Alligator mississippiensis: one gene and its partner. The protein of the gene in region 2 interacts with the protein of the main gene of each other region in a pairwise test. Links are inferred from orthologs where the notes say so. Each region holds a gene or a part of one and is shown on either strand. Other genes may lie near its edges.

Evidence for each region.
Region 1: the proteins of DAZAP2 (region 2) and PLSCR1 interact in binary tests that used the Homo sapiens proteins (3 or more experiments, as listed by UniProt). The two-hybrid records come from large-scale screens. The link is inferred for Alligator mississippiensis from reciprocal best matches to the Homo sapiens genes DAZAP2 and PLSCR1.

Annotation. Positions count from the first base shown.
Region 1 is NC_081830.1:59,169,672-59,177,584, forward strand, and holds the start of PLSCR1 (phospholipid scramblase 1), read right to left. Parts: upstream 3,061-7,913; 5' UTR 2,823-3,060; intron 2,662-2,822; exon of another isoform or gene 2,541-2,661; intron 1-2,540. UniProt on the Homo sapiens protein: Catalyzes calcium-induced ATP-independent rapid bidirectional and non-specific movement of phospholipids (lipid scrambling or lipid flip-flop) between the inner and outer leaflet of the plasma membrane resulting in collapse of the phospholipid asymmetry which leads to phosphatidylserine externalization on the cell surface.
Region 2 is NC_081838.1:10,212,159-10,219,762, forward strand, and holds the start of DAZAP2 (DAZ-associated protein 2), read right to left. Parts: upstream 3,056-7,604; 5' UTR 2,942-3,055; coding exon 2,929-2,941; intron 2,088-2,928; exon of another isoform or gene 1,983-2,087; intron 1,320-1,982; coding exon 1,198-1,319; intron 633-1,197; coding exon 390-632; intron 1-389. UniProt on the Homo sapiens protein: In unstressed cells, promotes SIAH1-mediated polyubiquitination and degradation of the serine/threonine-protein kinase HIPK2, probably by acting as a loading factor that potentiates complex formation between HIPK2 and ubiquitin ligase SIAH1.

The DNA of each region.
Region 1 (7,913 bases), on a different chromosome or scaffold from region 2:
AAAACAATCCAAATGTAGCAAAGCACTTCAACTTTAAACCTGGAAGGAGCAGTGTTAAACCATGCCCATATAACACTTGTCCAGTGGAGTTTAGAAGAACCCAGCATAGAGGTTCCAGGTGGAGTAGGAAGGGGAAAAACTGAAGTAAAACTCCACCAATTGAAGTATCATGTCCATTTCTATCCGGGGGAAGATGCATTCAGTGCAAAACTACTAACAGCTCCCTTTACACCCCATGGCAATGCAATAATGCCTACAGCAGCAGCTACTCCAAAAAAGCTTGTCATCTGTCCACTCTGGACACTGATGTAAACTTGCCCTATTTTTTGTTTTGCAGGTGTAATGTCCAGGTGCCAGGTTCCTAATAAAAACAGCATCAGATAATCCTGCTGTGTTGGGAGAATACTGCCACTTAACTCCCAATTTAAGTGGAGCAGGGTAGGGGTTAAGTTAAAGAGAAAAGGTGTGCACCAAGCACTGAGTCACTAAACCCATTTATTCACAGGACACTACCAAGGAAGGAAGAGGCTTGTAGCCTCTCTGTGTTGCCACCACTCCTTACTGTGCTCTCTCTTGCTCAAAATGCAGTTCCCAGATAGACATAGCAAGAAGTGCTACTGGGGAAGCTGGAGTCACAGGGCTTGAGCCACTGAGCTGTTTGCAGCCCACTACCCAAGTATAAACTGAGTGTAGAAGCGCTACCACTCAGTTATCTTTTTAAATATGCTCGCTTTGCACAGATGCAACTATGCAATGTGCAAGACAGAGATTCAGGCTCAGCTGAGTGCTGTGCCATGAGATTCCCACTAGACTTGATGACAGCAAGCACCTAATGAATAATGAGATGAAAGAAAAATAGCAAATATTGCAATTTCATCTAATCCCAGCAGAATTTGCAGTTAACTACATTCTCACTCCCTTCAGTAATATAGTCATACTTTTATCACTCTAGTTTCACAATAGAGGAAGCATGACCGTTTCACCTTGAAAAGGTAAATGCTATCTGAGAAAATGTAACAGTTAGGGGCTTTTTTTCGCAACTCTCATCCAAAAATGATATCCAAAACCAAAAGTCATACAAACTGGGATGAAACTGAATCCAGGCAAAATGAGGAAGTGATACTGGTGAAGAAGTAATCTGAGGAATTTGGGTACTACTTGATGAATGGTCCCTGCCTGCTGAACATACTGTTGGTACACAGCTTCAAAGTCCTTTTGAACATCTTGTTTCCTTTGCATATCCAAAAAAACCAAAATTGGGCAAAATGCGAACTTCCAAATAAGGTTGGCTGGAGGACTCTCCCATTTTATCAGAGATCTGACCATGGTTTTTAATGCGTTTGTGACCTTCAGGCTCACTTCCTGCAAATCAAACTGGGAACAAAGCACCCTTACCTTGAAAATAACAATGATGATACAAGATCATAGTCCAAATTAAGGTTTCTATCATAATATTCAAATCCTACCAAGAAGGCCAGCCTATGGTACTTACAGAGATCACCTCTCCTTTATATCCACAGCCAGCAACAACAGCTATGTGCTTATGGGGCTTTATCAAGTCTGCATATCAAGGAATCCTGCTTTTGTCTATGCGACGCACACAAAATCATCGAAAGCCAGGGTTAGAAGGGACATCAGGAAGTCATCTAGCCCAACCCCTTGCTCAAAGCAGGACCACCCCCAACTAGATCATCTAGGCCAAGGCTTTCTCTACCCAGGTCTTAAAAACCTCCAAGGACAGAGATTCTACCTCTTCTCTAAGCAGCCGGTTCCAGTGCTTCACCACCCTCTAGTTGTATTTCATCCTACCACTTTATCCAGGGGCATATGAACCTAATAAGGAACAGGTGGATTCATTATACATGGCTACCAAGCTTCTCTGTAGTCAGTCTCATGGCAAGGAAGTTTGGCACCCGGGGCAAAGCCCGCAGCAGCAGCCTGCCCACACCCCATGCACCGATCTGGGGGGCACATGCCCCCCATGCTTGCCCAGGAGCCCCTGCAGCTATGGGAGCCGCCCTCCCCTGTGCCCTGCCGAACTAGCTGCTTGTGGCTCCATCCTGTGCCTCTGCCGGGTAGTGCCTGTTGGCGCCCCTTCACGCTACAGCACTGCCTATAGTCAAGTTAACTTAAATCAGTTATAGCTACTGTCTGCATTTCAGCAATAGGCCAGGAAAAATAGCAGATTAAATATTTTAACATGGATGCCAGAGGGATGAGACACCAGTAACCTAAAATGTGACCCCTCTTCCTTCCCGTAATACAGATCAAAGGGTCCTGGTCAGCCAGAGGGGAGAAGAGTTTAGATTTGGTGTTTGAGTCACGCTGTCCAGTAAAGACAACCATTAGCATCCAGTTTTCTGCCACTGGCCAAGTCGGGCCACAAGCTTGTTGATACGATAACAGGAGAGAGATGACAGACAGCGCCTCAGGCTCTGCCTCCCAGTCCTTATTAAATAGCCAGAACTGTTGCTAAGACGCGCCCTCGGGCCTAGCACGCACCCCCGCGGCAGACACCGCCCCGCCCCGCCCGGACGCACCTGCGCGGCGGGCTGTGCGGGGAGCCCCTCAGGCAGAGCGGCCGGGGACCAGCTCGGGCCGGGGCCGGGGCCGGGCTGCCCGCACTTCAGCAACGAGGAAGTAACGGCGCCGCTCCCTGCCGGAAAGGGGGCGGACAGCCTGTTTGGAAAGGCTGCAGGTGCGGCTTTCGCTTTGCCTCAAGGGGCCGCGAGCAGGGGCTGGGCGGACGCCTGCCCTCGCCCCGGACCCGCACCGCCCCGCCAGCCCCGGGGCCGCGCTTCCCGCCCCGCGCACCCCCTTGCCTTCGCCTCGCCTCGCCTCGCCTCGCCGCACCGCTCCCTCGCGCTGCCTGGGATGGGGCAGGAGCCGCGGCCGCCTCGGGGAGGGAAGAAGCCCGGAGGGCGAGGGCAGGGGAGGAGGCTGGGCGGGGCGCGGAGAGGCGCTGGCCCGGGCCCCCGCGGCCGCCGAGGGAGCAGGGCGGCGCCTGGCCTGCAGGCGGGTCCGTGCGGGTGCCCCGTCGGGGCCGCCTTGCTCCCAGCACCGGGGCCCGTCGTCCTGGGCGGGCGCCGCTGCTTGCAGCCCGTGCGGCGACGGGCAGCGTCTCGCTGCTCCTGCGCCCCGCAACCGCGCGCGGCCTTTCGCCGGCTTGCTAGGCAGCGCCTTCAGCACAGTCCGTCTGCAGGGATCGCTGCCACCTCCTTTTCACTCCCAGAGAACTCCCCAAAGCTCCCCTGCGTGTGTGATGGAGGCAGCGAAGTAAGTGCTGCAGGGAATCGGTATCAAGCATCTTCACTGCGGTTTTGTCCAGCATCCATTAAAGCTGGAATTAAACAAACAAACAAACAAACAAAAAGTGAGGTTCCATGAAAAAATGACAAGGAAATTATATTGCAGGGATTTCTCTCTGTTTGCCTTGAATTCAGGTTGATGTTACCTGGTCCTGCAAAACATGCCTAACCCTCTATGAATTTAAAGATCCCTGGCCTCCATAGAGAAAGTCAAAAAGACCAAGGCTAAATTGATGCAGTCTTCACAGGTTAATCTAAAGCTGCATAGGTTGAGCCAATAAAAAAAGTGAACAGACACCAGCTTTTGATTCCTGAAGTGCAACTGCAGCCCTGCATGGTTCAGACCAGAAACAGCAGGTAGAGGGAGGGGCAGAGCATGCCTTCCTGCTCTGCTGGAGCACACCGCTTGGGCCAAGGCTAGTGGGCTTGCAGGGAAGGTGCAAAGCATCCTGGGGGGGGCTGTGAATTAATAGGAATTGCCACCTGATCAGTTGCACTAAACCTAGTAGTTTTGTTTTTAAGCTACTAACTAGTTAAATTGGTTTAAAAGTGTAATCTGCATATATTTTCACTGAATCAGTAGAAACTGAATCAGTGATCTTTCATTACTATTTAATACAGAAAACATGCTCCCCACCTTTTCCCCCAAAGAACGCAGGTACCATTTCAACAGATTTCTGTGCATATTTACATTTTATCACTGTGTTTAAAGCTTATGGATTATAACTCATTCATGCCTTTACAATCATGGTATAAAAGCAACCTATTATTTATTTTACATTTTCAGTAACTCCCAACTTTTTTATTTTCAGTTTTGACTTTACTTTGGAATTCCAAGGTACTGATTTGTCTAATTTAACATGGTAAGCCGCTAGACATTTTAGGCTTTCAAAATCAGAGAATTTTCTATCATTGATGGAAATTTTCCATCAATTTTCCATTCTTTGCATTACAGTAATAACATTAGCTAATCACGTCAGTTTGCAGTCCAGTAAAGGCAGTGGGTATGCAGTATTTGCAAAGTTTTACCTGTACTGATATGTTATGTTCTAACCATGAAATGTGCTTTTTCCTCAGGGAATAATTTATAATTTTCCATTAATGAACACTGCTCTGTAGTCCTGTATTCTATTAAAAGGACATATTTGTTATTGGTTCATGTTCTCAACTACTTCTACCACATATGAATAGAACTTTCAGGAAGACTTTTCTTTCTACTTTCTTTGCTATTTCTATTTTCTCAAGTCTTTTCCTTGTGAAACGATGCCTCTTGGATTTCTACTGAGCACCAGATCTACTGAGCACCCAATTTGTATTTCACTGATTCTACCAGCATGTACAGATCTAATTAAGATTAAATCATGTATCCTGTATCAGTCAGTCTCTCACCAGCTCATTGTATTACATACACAATAGGGGCTTTTCATGAAAAAGTCACAGCAATCCAAATGTATGTATTTGAGAATTAAGTCAGTCTACTATGCATCAACCAGTTCATATTATTCTTTACTGTAAGTATCAAAGGAAACATTTTTTCAAGGATATTGTACATTTCAAGTTTTTCCATAGTCTTTACAAAAATCACCTTGATTTTCTTCCTTTTGCCACCTGCTGGCAGAGCCCCCCTGCAGCGTCTTGCAGCCCTGTCTGCCTGAGACCGAGCACCACCTGTGCCACATAGCACAGGCCTGCCTTGGCTTGACCCGGGGGCATGCACCTTTGGGCAGGACTGGGCAGCTCTTTCTGTCACTAGAGTCTCGATACTGCACACCAGGCTCCCTGCCTTCATGGAGCCGGCCTGGCCTGATACGAGGAACCGCTTGCAGGATGTGATGGGCTAGGAGGAGGCGTAGAGGTAGCAGGGATGAGAGAGAGGGTTGGGGGTAGGGGAGGGCTTTGGGTCAGAGAGGTAGCTAGAGCTGGGCTTAGAGCCCCGCTTTTTGCCTAGAGCAGCCTGTACAGGGGGAGGCCAGCCTGAAAGGAAAGGAGCTTGCTCAGCCCAGTCCCTGAGCCCTAGTCAAGGGCTTCCCAGGAAAGGCATGGGGAAGCGCTGGGGCCTGGGCACAGACAGGGAGCAGAGCAGCAAGGGCTGGTACTGCTCACAGCCACAAAGCAGTGGATGGAACAACTGCAGCTGGACGCATGTCCTGGTGCTGGGAGGGAGCTAGTGGGGGCAGGCAGGACACTGGGATATCAGTGCTTCTCAGCACCCCACATCCTGGTGACCAAAGTGGAAAGGGGCGGCTCTGATTTTTCTATGATGAAAAAAAGAAAGGAAATGCTAAAGTGTATAGGATATTTAGAACTTGTTTATTATGACGATAGAGGCACTGCTAGGCTTCCAAATTGCTTTAAAATTGTAAATATATCAGTAAAGCATTGCCCAACTCTACATATAGTGCTGTTTCATTTTAAATCACAAAATAACAGAGATTTGGGGTATTTTAATGAGAAAATTTGGGTTCATCAGAGAATTTGGAATTTTTAAATGGGGAACACCAGGATCTTTACTGGTGAGACAAGTGGCAAGATGTAGACAGAGGAGCCTGGGGAGGGGAGCTGGGCAGGGAACAGGTTTCCCAGCTCCCACCAGGAGGGAGGTCCCAGTGCCAGCTCTGCGACTGTGGGACTCATCCTGGGAGATCCTTATCACCCAGGCTGAGCTCCTAGGTCTAGGGGCTTGGACCATGGAGCCAGCGCTGGGAGATAAGTGTCTCCCAACTCAAGGCCCTCCACCACAGAGCTCAGGCTGGGAGATAAGGATCTCCCAGTCCTTGGTTCCCTATCGGAGATATCTGAGCAGGGGGTTTGGAGTTCCCTGCTGCCAGAGCAGGGGGGACATAGTCCCCGCCCAGGCTCCTGTGGCAGAGTCTACCCCTGCAGCAGGCAGCTCCTAGGGGCAGGGAATTATTTTCTACCTCCTGGTGGATGGGTGACCGGGAGTAGATTTTGTTCCCAGTCAGGCACCTACATGAGCACTATTTGCGCCATTACTAATCGTGAGTAAATTTGCTACTTGTATTTGCAGATAGCAAAATTTACTTGGGATTAGGGAGGTTTACTGTGAAATAAGCATGTTCATGTTTACAAAAACTACAAATCATATTGTACAGGATATACTTAATGTAAAAAATTTAGAGGACTATAACTTCATTGTTATGTAGAGAACAAGAAGGACAAGCATAATTAGTGTGGAATCAGAAAAAAAAATAAATGCCTTAAACTTTGATTATTTGAGTTATAAGATGACATAACTGCTTTGTAGAGAATTGCTGGCTCTGTACAGTAGAACAGATAAGGGAAAGTGTTTGTTCTTTGTAACTCCTCTGCAACTGCTTCACTCACCACAGCCTTGAAGATAGCAAAAAGTATGTACAACTCTGATTTCCAGGTGCAAGAAGGAGGTTTGTGAACTAACCTCGCCTCCCCCATAAGTTCCTATCTTGATTACAGCAATGAAGTAATGTTTATAGCTGCTTTTTTTTTTTTTATAAGCCTCCTGATTTTGCTTTTGGGGGGCGGACTTCTTCTAAGTGCTTGGGAAATCTATGTCACTTTGGAATCCCCTCTACAGCTGTAGTTTTTTTTTAAATAAAAGCTTTTGTTAACCTGATTCAAAAGTATTCTGCGTGTGTTTTCACAACAATTCCTGGTGCCGTGACTCGGATCCAGAACACGTGCTGAAGAAGGAGGACCACGGACTGCCCCCCTCCAAACCCTGAGGCGCCAAACTTAAGAGGTAAGAGACCTAATTCAAAATCTCTTTTGGGGTTTCAGAGGAGAACTGCCTGTAGGCTCCCAACTTAGCCGTGGTAACTAGATCTAAACCTTGTTAAAAACAGGTCAGTCTAAACCTTACTGCCGGCTAAAATTTTCTGTCTGGTAAAGAATCCAATTTTCTGTCTGGTAACGTATGTTTTATTCAGGGAAAAACTTTGAAGCACCTTCATCCAACAGCACATTGGGCTTGTAGTTAATTAACTAAGGCGGTGTGGGGGAGGAGGTCTGGCTGACTAAATGAATGCGTGTGTGTGTGTATTTAAAAATATAAGCCACTGACCAGGTCTAAAACTACGGTTGGGTTCAGCAGCCCCAATTCTGCCTAACGGCAGTTTTAAAAGCAAGGGGGCCCAACTGAAACCTCATGACCCAGTGGACAGGGCTTCAGAGTAATTTTGTCTTTTTCTATCTGGCTATTAAATGAATGTGTGTGTGTGTATTTAAAAAAAAAAGCCACTGACCAGGTCTGGGACTAAGGCTAGGTCTAGCCGCCCCGATTCTGCCTAAAAAGGTAGCGTCAAAAATAAGGGGGCCCAGCTGAAACCTCGTGACCCAGTGGACAGGGCGTCTGAGTAATTTTGTCTTTTCCAAACCCCTTGTCCCAGTAGCTTCTGCTGACAGCAGGAGTAAAAGGATCCCTCTTGTGTTTCCCTCCCCATTTCCATTTTATGAGCCGGTATCAGGTCAGAAACCTTTTGTCTGGGCGGTAAAAAACTGCGGGGCAAGGCACTAAGCGGCCCGGACATCCTAAATAAGCCTATCCTACATCTCCCTGTGTGACTAAAAATGGGAACAAGTCAGTCTAAACAAGTTCCCGTCCCCCCT
Region 2 (7,604 bases):
TAATGCAGACTTGGCTTCTCATCCATCTCCAAGCATAATGGACAACAGCCAGAGTACAAGATGCATCTTATAACACAGGGAGCCAAACACCAGCACTCAGTTTGCAGCCAATTATAAGATCATAGGAAAGCAGGGCTGGAAGGGACCTCATGAGATCATCTAGTCCAGCCCCCTGCTCAGGATCATCCCCAGCTAAGCCACCCCAATCAAGTGTCTGCCTACTCTCTCTCGAAATTTCCATGAACCTGCTTGTGAAATTGTGCTTAAATGCTTATGAGAAAATGCCTGGTGTTGAAGACTTAAGGACTGTCGTCTTGCCCCCGACTGCCAGCTTTACTGAGTAGCTCCAAAAGTGACACATGGGGTTTCTGTGGTATGCTCATACTTACAGGGATATTAGTAGTGGCACCAGCTCCAAACCGTGCTCCAGCATCAAAGCCACCCTCGACAAGAACCGCTGAGCCTGGGGGATAGACAGGACCCACAGGGTAGTATGCCATTGGAACGGAGGAGCCTATGGGTCCCACAGCCACAGACTGTGCCACAGGCAGGAACAGAGAAGTACCAGGATAGGCAGCAGACATAGTGGGCATGGTGGCAGGCCCTGGAGGCACAAAGCTTGGCCGGTAGAGCTGAAGGGAAAAAAAAAAAAAAGAACACAAGTGCATTGGAAGAAATATTCCTTGCTCCAAAGCCATTTCCTCAGATCCTTCCTCAAAGTGCTGATAATGTGATAAAGGCGTAGCAGCCCGATCAGCTGCACAGATAGCTCCATCACTTCTAACGAGAAGTTTGTTCACTTTACGAGAGGTCGAGGCACAACACCCTCTTCAGACCCTCTACTTTGCTTTTGCACCATAGCAGCCACTTTGTGGGAAGCTCTGAAGGAAGTTTCTGCCATTTAAGAGAGTGGGCCAATTCAAGATCTGCAAGAGGAAATGCCCGAATAGCACCCTGGTTTAGTCACCAAGTGAGCATGTACACATGCACTTTGGGGCAGAGGTCTCATTGGCTTTGTCAATGAGCAATCATTTAGCAATCATCAGTTGAGACCGCTTGCTGCTCTTGTCCTATGAGGTGAAAGGTGTTCCAAGCTGCCAGAAATACAGGCAATGAGCTGTCATGTGTTAATAGCTCAAAATGGGAGGCTGGAGGGGAGAAAAGGTGCAAGAGCAAGAAAAGGGCCATGCCTTATACCTCTGAGTAAGCAGGAGGCGCATCAGTGTACGGTGGTGGCTGAGGAAGAGGCATGGTCTGTGGATACACTGGAGGATTACCAGGGGGCTGGACTGGGTAGGAAGGCTGTGTTGGGTATTGACCTGAGAGAGAGAGAGAGAAGAATACAGCTGGTGTTAAGTTTTACCCTTACAGACATCGGACAGAGGGTGGATGAGTTCATGGAAAGCCCCTTCTTCTGCAGTTTTTTTAAGCAGGATTGCTAGAGATCGTTAACCCTGGAGGTGTTAGGCATGCACCAACAGATACCCCCCATGCGATTCCCAGCCACAGAGCCCGTTCATCACTCTCGACCAATACAGCTACTTCAGTCAGAACTGAAAGCAAGAGGTAGCTAGCAGTTATAGTCCTTCACAAGGAAGCAGGTTAAAAAAAAGTTAAGCAACTTCCTGTGGAAAGTTTACCAACAAACCACATTTTTCTAAGCTGGCACTTCACTGCTTGGACTTCAAGCTGACTCACTCTCCTACAAGTAGCACAGATAGCAGGGCATCAACTACGCTACGTATGGATCCGTTTGCAGCTACGGATGCGTTGCATCATATATGCAAACCCCCCCGGAGCATCTGTTCAGGATGCTAACATTATACGATGCAAAACTAACCCCATCTGCCTCGAGTCACGGAAAAGCTGAGCTCCCAAAAGACGAGACTGGGTTTCTTCAGGAAAAAAAAAAAAAAGGAGGCCTGAAGCTGGAAAAACACCGATACACCCCGACAAAAACAAGGCACCTACCAACCTCTTACCCTTTTAACTGTTACGGAATGAGAGCTGATAGACCACTATTGTGACGTGCACCTTCGTGTATGGACAAGAGCAGTTGTAGGCATGAGTAAATCTGCAAGCAAAGGCTGACGGGAGGTAATAATTAATACTGCTGTTAAGTTTTGAAGTCACCGCTGCCCAGTTCTGAGTGCAGCTGACACTGTGCTCTATTTTCTAATCTTTTTTTTTTTTTCCCCTTAACCCCATTGCTATCAGGTGTTTAAGAGCGGCGTGTTTACCTACTCGGTTGCATGCGAGCAGGTAACCACAGAGAGGCCGGACTCCAGCCAGCCACTGTCAGCTCCTGTCCGGCCTCCGATTATGTTTAAAGACCGCTCGTGGATTGTAAATGCCCAAAAGCAGCATTTTAATCTATTCCGAGTCCAGGGCAGGGTGAAGGGGAGGGGCGGGAAGAGGGACCCTAGTGTGAGCCCCCGCACGGACGGCAGGTTCTGCATGGACACGTTTAACCTCTGCGGTGCCGCCAAGCGACACCGACACCTGAGCACGCACACAGGTGTACGTGTGCGAGCGTGTTTGTGAATGCTGTACGGGTTTTAACAAGCGTGTGTGCATGTGGGAATTCTATATCGGTGTTAATGAGCGTGGTGTGCACGCGCATGTGTGTGCATATTCTGTGCAGGCTGTAGTGAGTGTGTACACACTCCTCTGGGGCCGTGGACAAGGCCAAGCGCGCCCGTGACGGGGCCTGGCAGGAGGCTCCGGCTGGCCCCCACCCCCGCCTGCCCCCCCATCGCCCTCCGCAGCAGGGAAGGGGTTAAGGGCCAGGCCGAGGCGCGCGGCGCCATGGAGACCCGAACCCCCGCCCCCCGCCGCGCTCCCATTGGCTGCGCCCCCCGCCCGGCCCGGCGGTGCCCGGCGGCGGCGCTGGCCTGCAAGGGGCGGGGGGCGCTGCCCGGGCCGCACCTTTGCTGTTCATGGCGGCGGGGCTGCGGCCGGGTCGCTGCGCGTCAGTCCGGGCCGGCGGCTGCACTCACTTCCTTGTTGTTGTCACTGCGGGCTGAGGGGACGCGCGACGTTGCCGCAGAGCGTCATGACGTCAGGGCGCCGTCGCGCGGGCTCTTAAAGGGGCCGCGGCCGGGCGGGGGCGGGGCTCCCGAGTTGCTGCGTCACGGCTGGGAGGGGTCGGGCAGGGGCGGCCTGTTCCTGGCTCGTGTGTCTGTGTCTACGCGCGTGTGTGCATGTATGTGTGCATGTGTGTATATGTGCTTGTGTTTATGCATGTGTGTACGTGTGTGTGTATGTGCATGTGTGTATTTGTGTCCATGTGTATATATGTGCATGTGCATGTATGTATGTAGATCTATGCATGTATCTGTGTATATATGCGTGTGCGTGTGTGCATGTATGTGCGTGTATGTGTATATATGTGCATGTATATATGTGCGTCTGTGTGTGTATATGTGCGTCTGTGTATATATGTGCGTGTATGTATATGTACACAAGGTTCCTCGGGTGAATCTGATATCTTTTATTAGACCAACTCAAATGGTTGGAGAATAGTTATTAAGCAAGCTTTCGGGTTCAGAAACCCTTCATCAGGCTAAGGAAGTGTCAGCAGTTGGTGTGTGCTCTTCCTGGATGGAATGAACATATGTGTATGTATGTGCGTGTACATATATGTATGTGCATGTGTGTGTATATGTGCGTGTGTGCATGCGTATGTTTGTATGCGTGTATGTACACATACACAGACTAAAGGTGCGTCAGTCAGCACAGTTCAAGAGCAAGACCTCCGCTCCCTTCATCCCGCGGGATCGATTTCCAAGCAGAAATCCCAGCCCTGGGCCGGGCCTGTGCCTCCAGGCTTGGGCTCTTCAGTCACCCCAAGACCGGTTGCTGAACCACGGTCAAGATTGTCCTCAAACCGAGGGATTGCTGCCCCTGGGGCAAACCTCCCTCCTCTTGTCTGCGGGAGAGCATGCGCCTGTTCTCCCAGTGTTGAAAGACTCATCCCCGCTTTCTGAATTTTAGATGTAAACTTTTCCTGACGCCTCCTGGTTTTGGGGGGGAAGAGGAGGAGAAAAAATCCTCAGGCCTCTTTCTCCAGCTCCTTCTTAAGCATCTCAATCAACCGGTTCATTCTTCTCTGTGTTTAAGTGAACTCCTCATGAATAATGTACAGGGTTCCTGATGAATATGCACATCGGCTTGGTATGCCTGTGAGGACTTTATAAATAATTTATGAGCATCAAATGTTCTTCACCTTGCTCCTGTATGGGGAACTATAAAAAAATATTTACCCTTTCAAGTGGCAGTAAGATCAGTATAGACAGCTTGAAACCCGCCTATTAAAAATACCCAGGGAAGTGGGTTTTTGCATCGCTGAAGTTGTAAGCGCTGAAGAGAAAGGGAGGAAAGGAAAATGCATTGCCATTAGCAAGAGAAGGGTAAAACGCTAGCCGTTTTCTCGTCACGAGCTAGAAAATGGTTTCTGAAGGCTGATGGAGACTTGCTGCCTGTAAAGGCCCTGATCTTGCAATCTACTGCATGTAAGGTGCTGAGCATGGTCTCAAAGCTCATGGTGACCGGTGGGAGAGTGGAGGGTGCTCAGCATTTAGCAGGATCACCCCCACCCCTCACTAATGGAAATGTGTCAATATTACCATTCTTTCTTTCTAGTCTCCTGATGCTGCTATACAGGAAACTTCCCAGCAAAGGCAAAGCACATGTTCTTTTGTGACCGGGAGAGAAAAAAAAAAAAAGCAAGCAAAGCATTTCATTTCCACTCAGGAGAGCCAGCACCTTCCAGAGATTTTGAAAACCTGGAAGGATTTAAATATATATATATATACTATCTTGTTTGAGAAACCTGCAGCCTCATGGAGACAGCACTCAAAGCTCCATTTCTTAGCGCTGCTCTGCAAATCGAGCCCAAAGTGTCATCACCCCTGAACTGACGCCCTTAAAACTAAAGGCTACTTTCAAGTGCTAGGCTGTGCACAAAAGGTCTGCTTGGGCACATCTACACGTGCGCTTTAAAGCGCATTAGCCTATTTTAATGTGCATTAAAGTGTCACTTTAAAAACAGTGCTATTTAGTTAATGTGCATTAAAATAGGCTAATGTGCATTTTCTTAGTACCTACACGAGCAGCAAGGCTGCTCCTATGTGCTGTAATTCCAGCGTGTTGAAGCAGACTCAATTAATCAAGTCTGCTGGAGCATGGCAATTACCATCATTTTGAAGCATGGGGACAGTGATAAAGGAAACACTCAGGGCGCTTTAATTAGAGTGGCACTCGGAGCTGCTCTAATTAAAGCATCTCCCCCAGCCTTGCATATAAATGCCCCTTGTGCTTAGAACAAAGCATTCTAAGAGGGACTGGGACTGGGAGGGTTTTCTGTCTGTGGGTGGCCTGGGACACTTGTTTGCACTTAGCAGCTAAAATGCAAAACATTGGAGTTGCAGGAAAGTTTAGATCTGCCCAAAGTAGGCCAATGCCCCAGGGAGTGGCACTGCTTTTTTCACGGTGATGTTGCGCAGGGCCAAAACGTGCAGACCAGCATGGCAACACACGTGCTTTAGTGAGCATTAAAGCATCACCAAAAAAAGTGGGCTTTCACTAATGCACGTTAAAAAAAAGCTAATGTGCCTTTTTCTAGTGGTACTAATTTTAATCGGCATTAGCAAAAGCACATTAATGAACATGTCGAGGTGCCCATTGACATGGATAATTTTTGGGGGGGTGGGTTCCCCTCAATTTAAATCAAACTCACACCTGGAAAGGCCCTGGGTTTCCCAACGTGTGTGCAGTACTTATACTCCTGTGTTGTTAGCCTGAGGTTAACAACAGTTGTGGCCACTCAGAACCCTGCAGGTGCAGAAGCCTAATTGGTGATATCAAAATAGTAATTAATCATTAGCTGATAATTACTTTGTGACAACTCCTGCTTGCTACCCCCCCAGGGCAAAGTTCTGGCCCCATGGAAATGAATGGGAGTTTTGTCCATGAGTTAGTTGGGGGCAGAGTTTCTCTGGCGGGACAGGTGAAGCCTGCAGGCCAACATAAAGACATGGTAGACTTCTCTCTCTACCTGAGCTCTAGGCAGTGGGAAAGGCAGGCCTAGTCCCAGAACATCTGGAGGAAGCTGGTGAGTGGCAAATGCATCAGTTGTGGAATTGCATATCTCTGAGGGGTGTCAGAAACTCCATGGTTAAGTGCACTCCCTTTGCTACGTATGGTAGAGAAACCAAATGTCTAAACCAGTGAGAGGCAAAGACAAGAAAGCTGGAATACTAATTTGGGCTTCTACCAAAATATCCTGTGGACGTAGCAAGCATTGGAACAAGGGGCTTGACAATCGGCCAGAGCAAATGTTATTTCTGTCAACTATTCCTAGGCCACATTTGAATATAATTTTTTTTCTTCTCTCTCTTTCTCTGACCGAGCTATTTTCTGCAGTAAAGATTCTGGCGCTTGTAAAATAAATTCATCTTGGAGATAAATTAAAAATGCAATGTGTACCCTTTTATCCCCCTTATGTATTATATTAATAGTATGCCAATGTATGCAAATGAGTGTGAAATTCAACTAGATGGAAGTATTTAAATATTCATAATCACAGTACAGCATATGCAAACCAGACTCTCAACAGAATTGTGCTGCAGAGGCTCAAATAACAGCTGTACTGAAGCAAAGACATTTTGAACATAACTGATCCGGTTACTAATGAAAATGTTGTCGGCAATGGGGGTGTATTTATTAATGTTTGTGCACTGGTATTAATATCTGACTCGGGCCTCAGTTCAGGCATTTAAGTTTCTGCTTAAGTCTAATTGAAGTCAGGCTTGCATTTATGTACTTCCTTGAACGGGAAAGAGCTGCCTACAATGCCTTGTTCAAGGAGTTCCTCTGAAAAAATAGATCTGGTACTCATCAGATCTTAAATATGACCTTGTTGTGATCGTAGAGAGGAGCCAGTCAACTCTGAATTATTTTAATTCAAAATACTTTTTTTTTTTTTTATTCCTGAAAATAGGATGTAGAATATAAATTAGAAGCAGAAACAGCAGTTACATGCTTTTTACTATGAATGCACATTACCCAGGTTTCAGGGGCGTAGGTTATAGCCGTGTTGGTCTAAGGCAGGGGCGGGCAATTATTTTGGGCAGAGGGCCACTTACTGAGTTTCGGAAAGCCATCAAGGGCCACATGACAGGCAGCCCAGGGCAGGTTAATTAATTTTCTAATTTTTTTAGGGGCCCTGCAGACTGGATAGAATGGCCTGGCGGGCTGCATCCAGCCCCCGGGCTGCATTTTGCCCACCCCTGATCTAAGGACACTGGCAGACAAGGTTCTTTGGGTAAATCTGATATCTTTTATTAGACCAATTTAAACAGTTGGAAAAAATTTTCTTAGCAAGCTTTTGGGCACAAACACACCCTTTGTCAGGCTGATGAAGCTTCATCTAGGTTGTATTACCCAGGTTGTGATGTATGTATTTGTTCATGTAAAAGCGGACGTGTATTTTAGAAGCATGTTGTGACAATCTTATGAACTTTAAACAAAGGTTAATTTTAAGGCAAAGATTTAAAATCAGTCCAATAGGCAAAGATTTAAAATTAGTGCAGTAGCTTTTC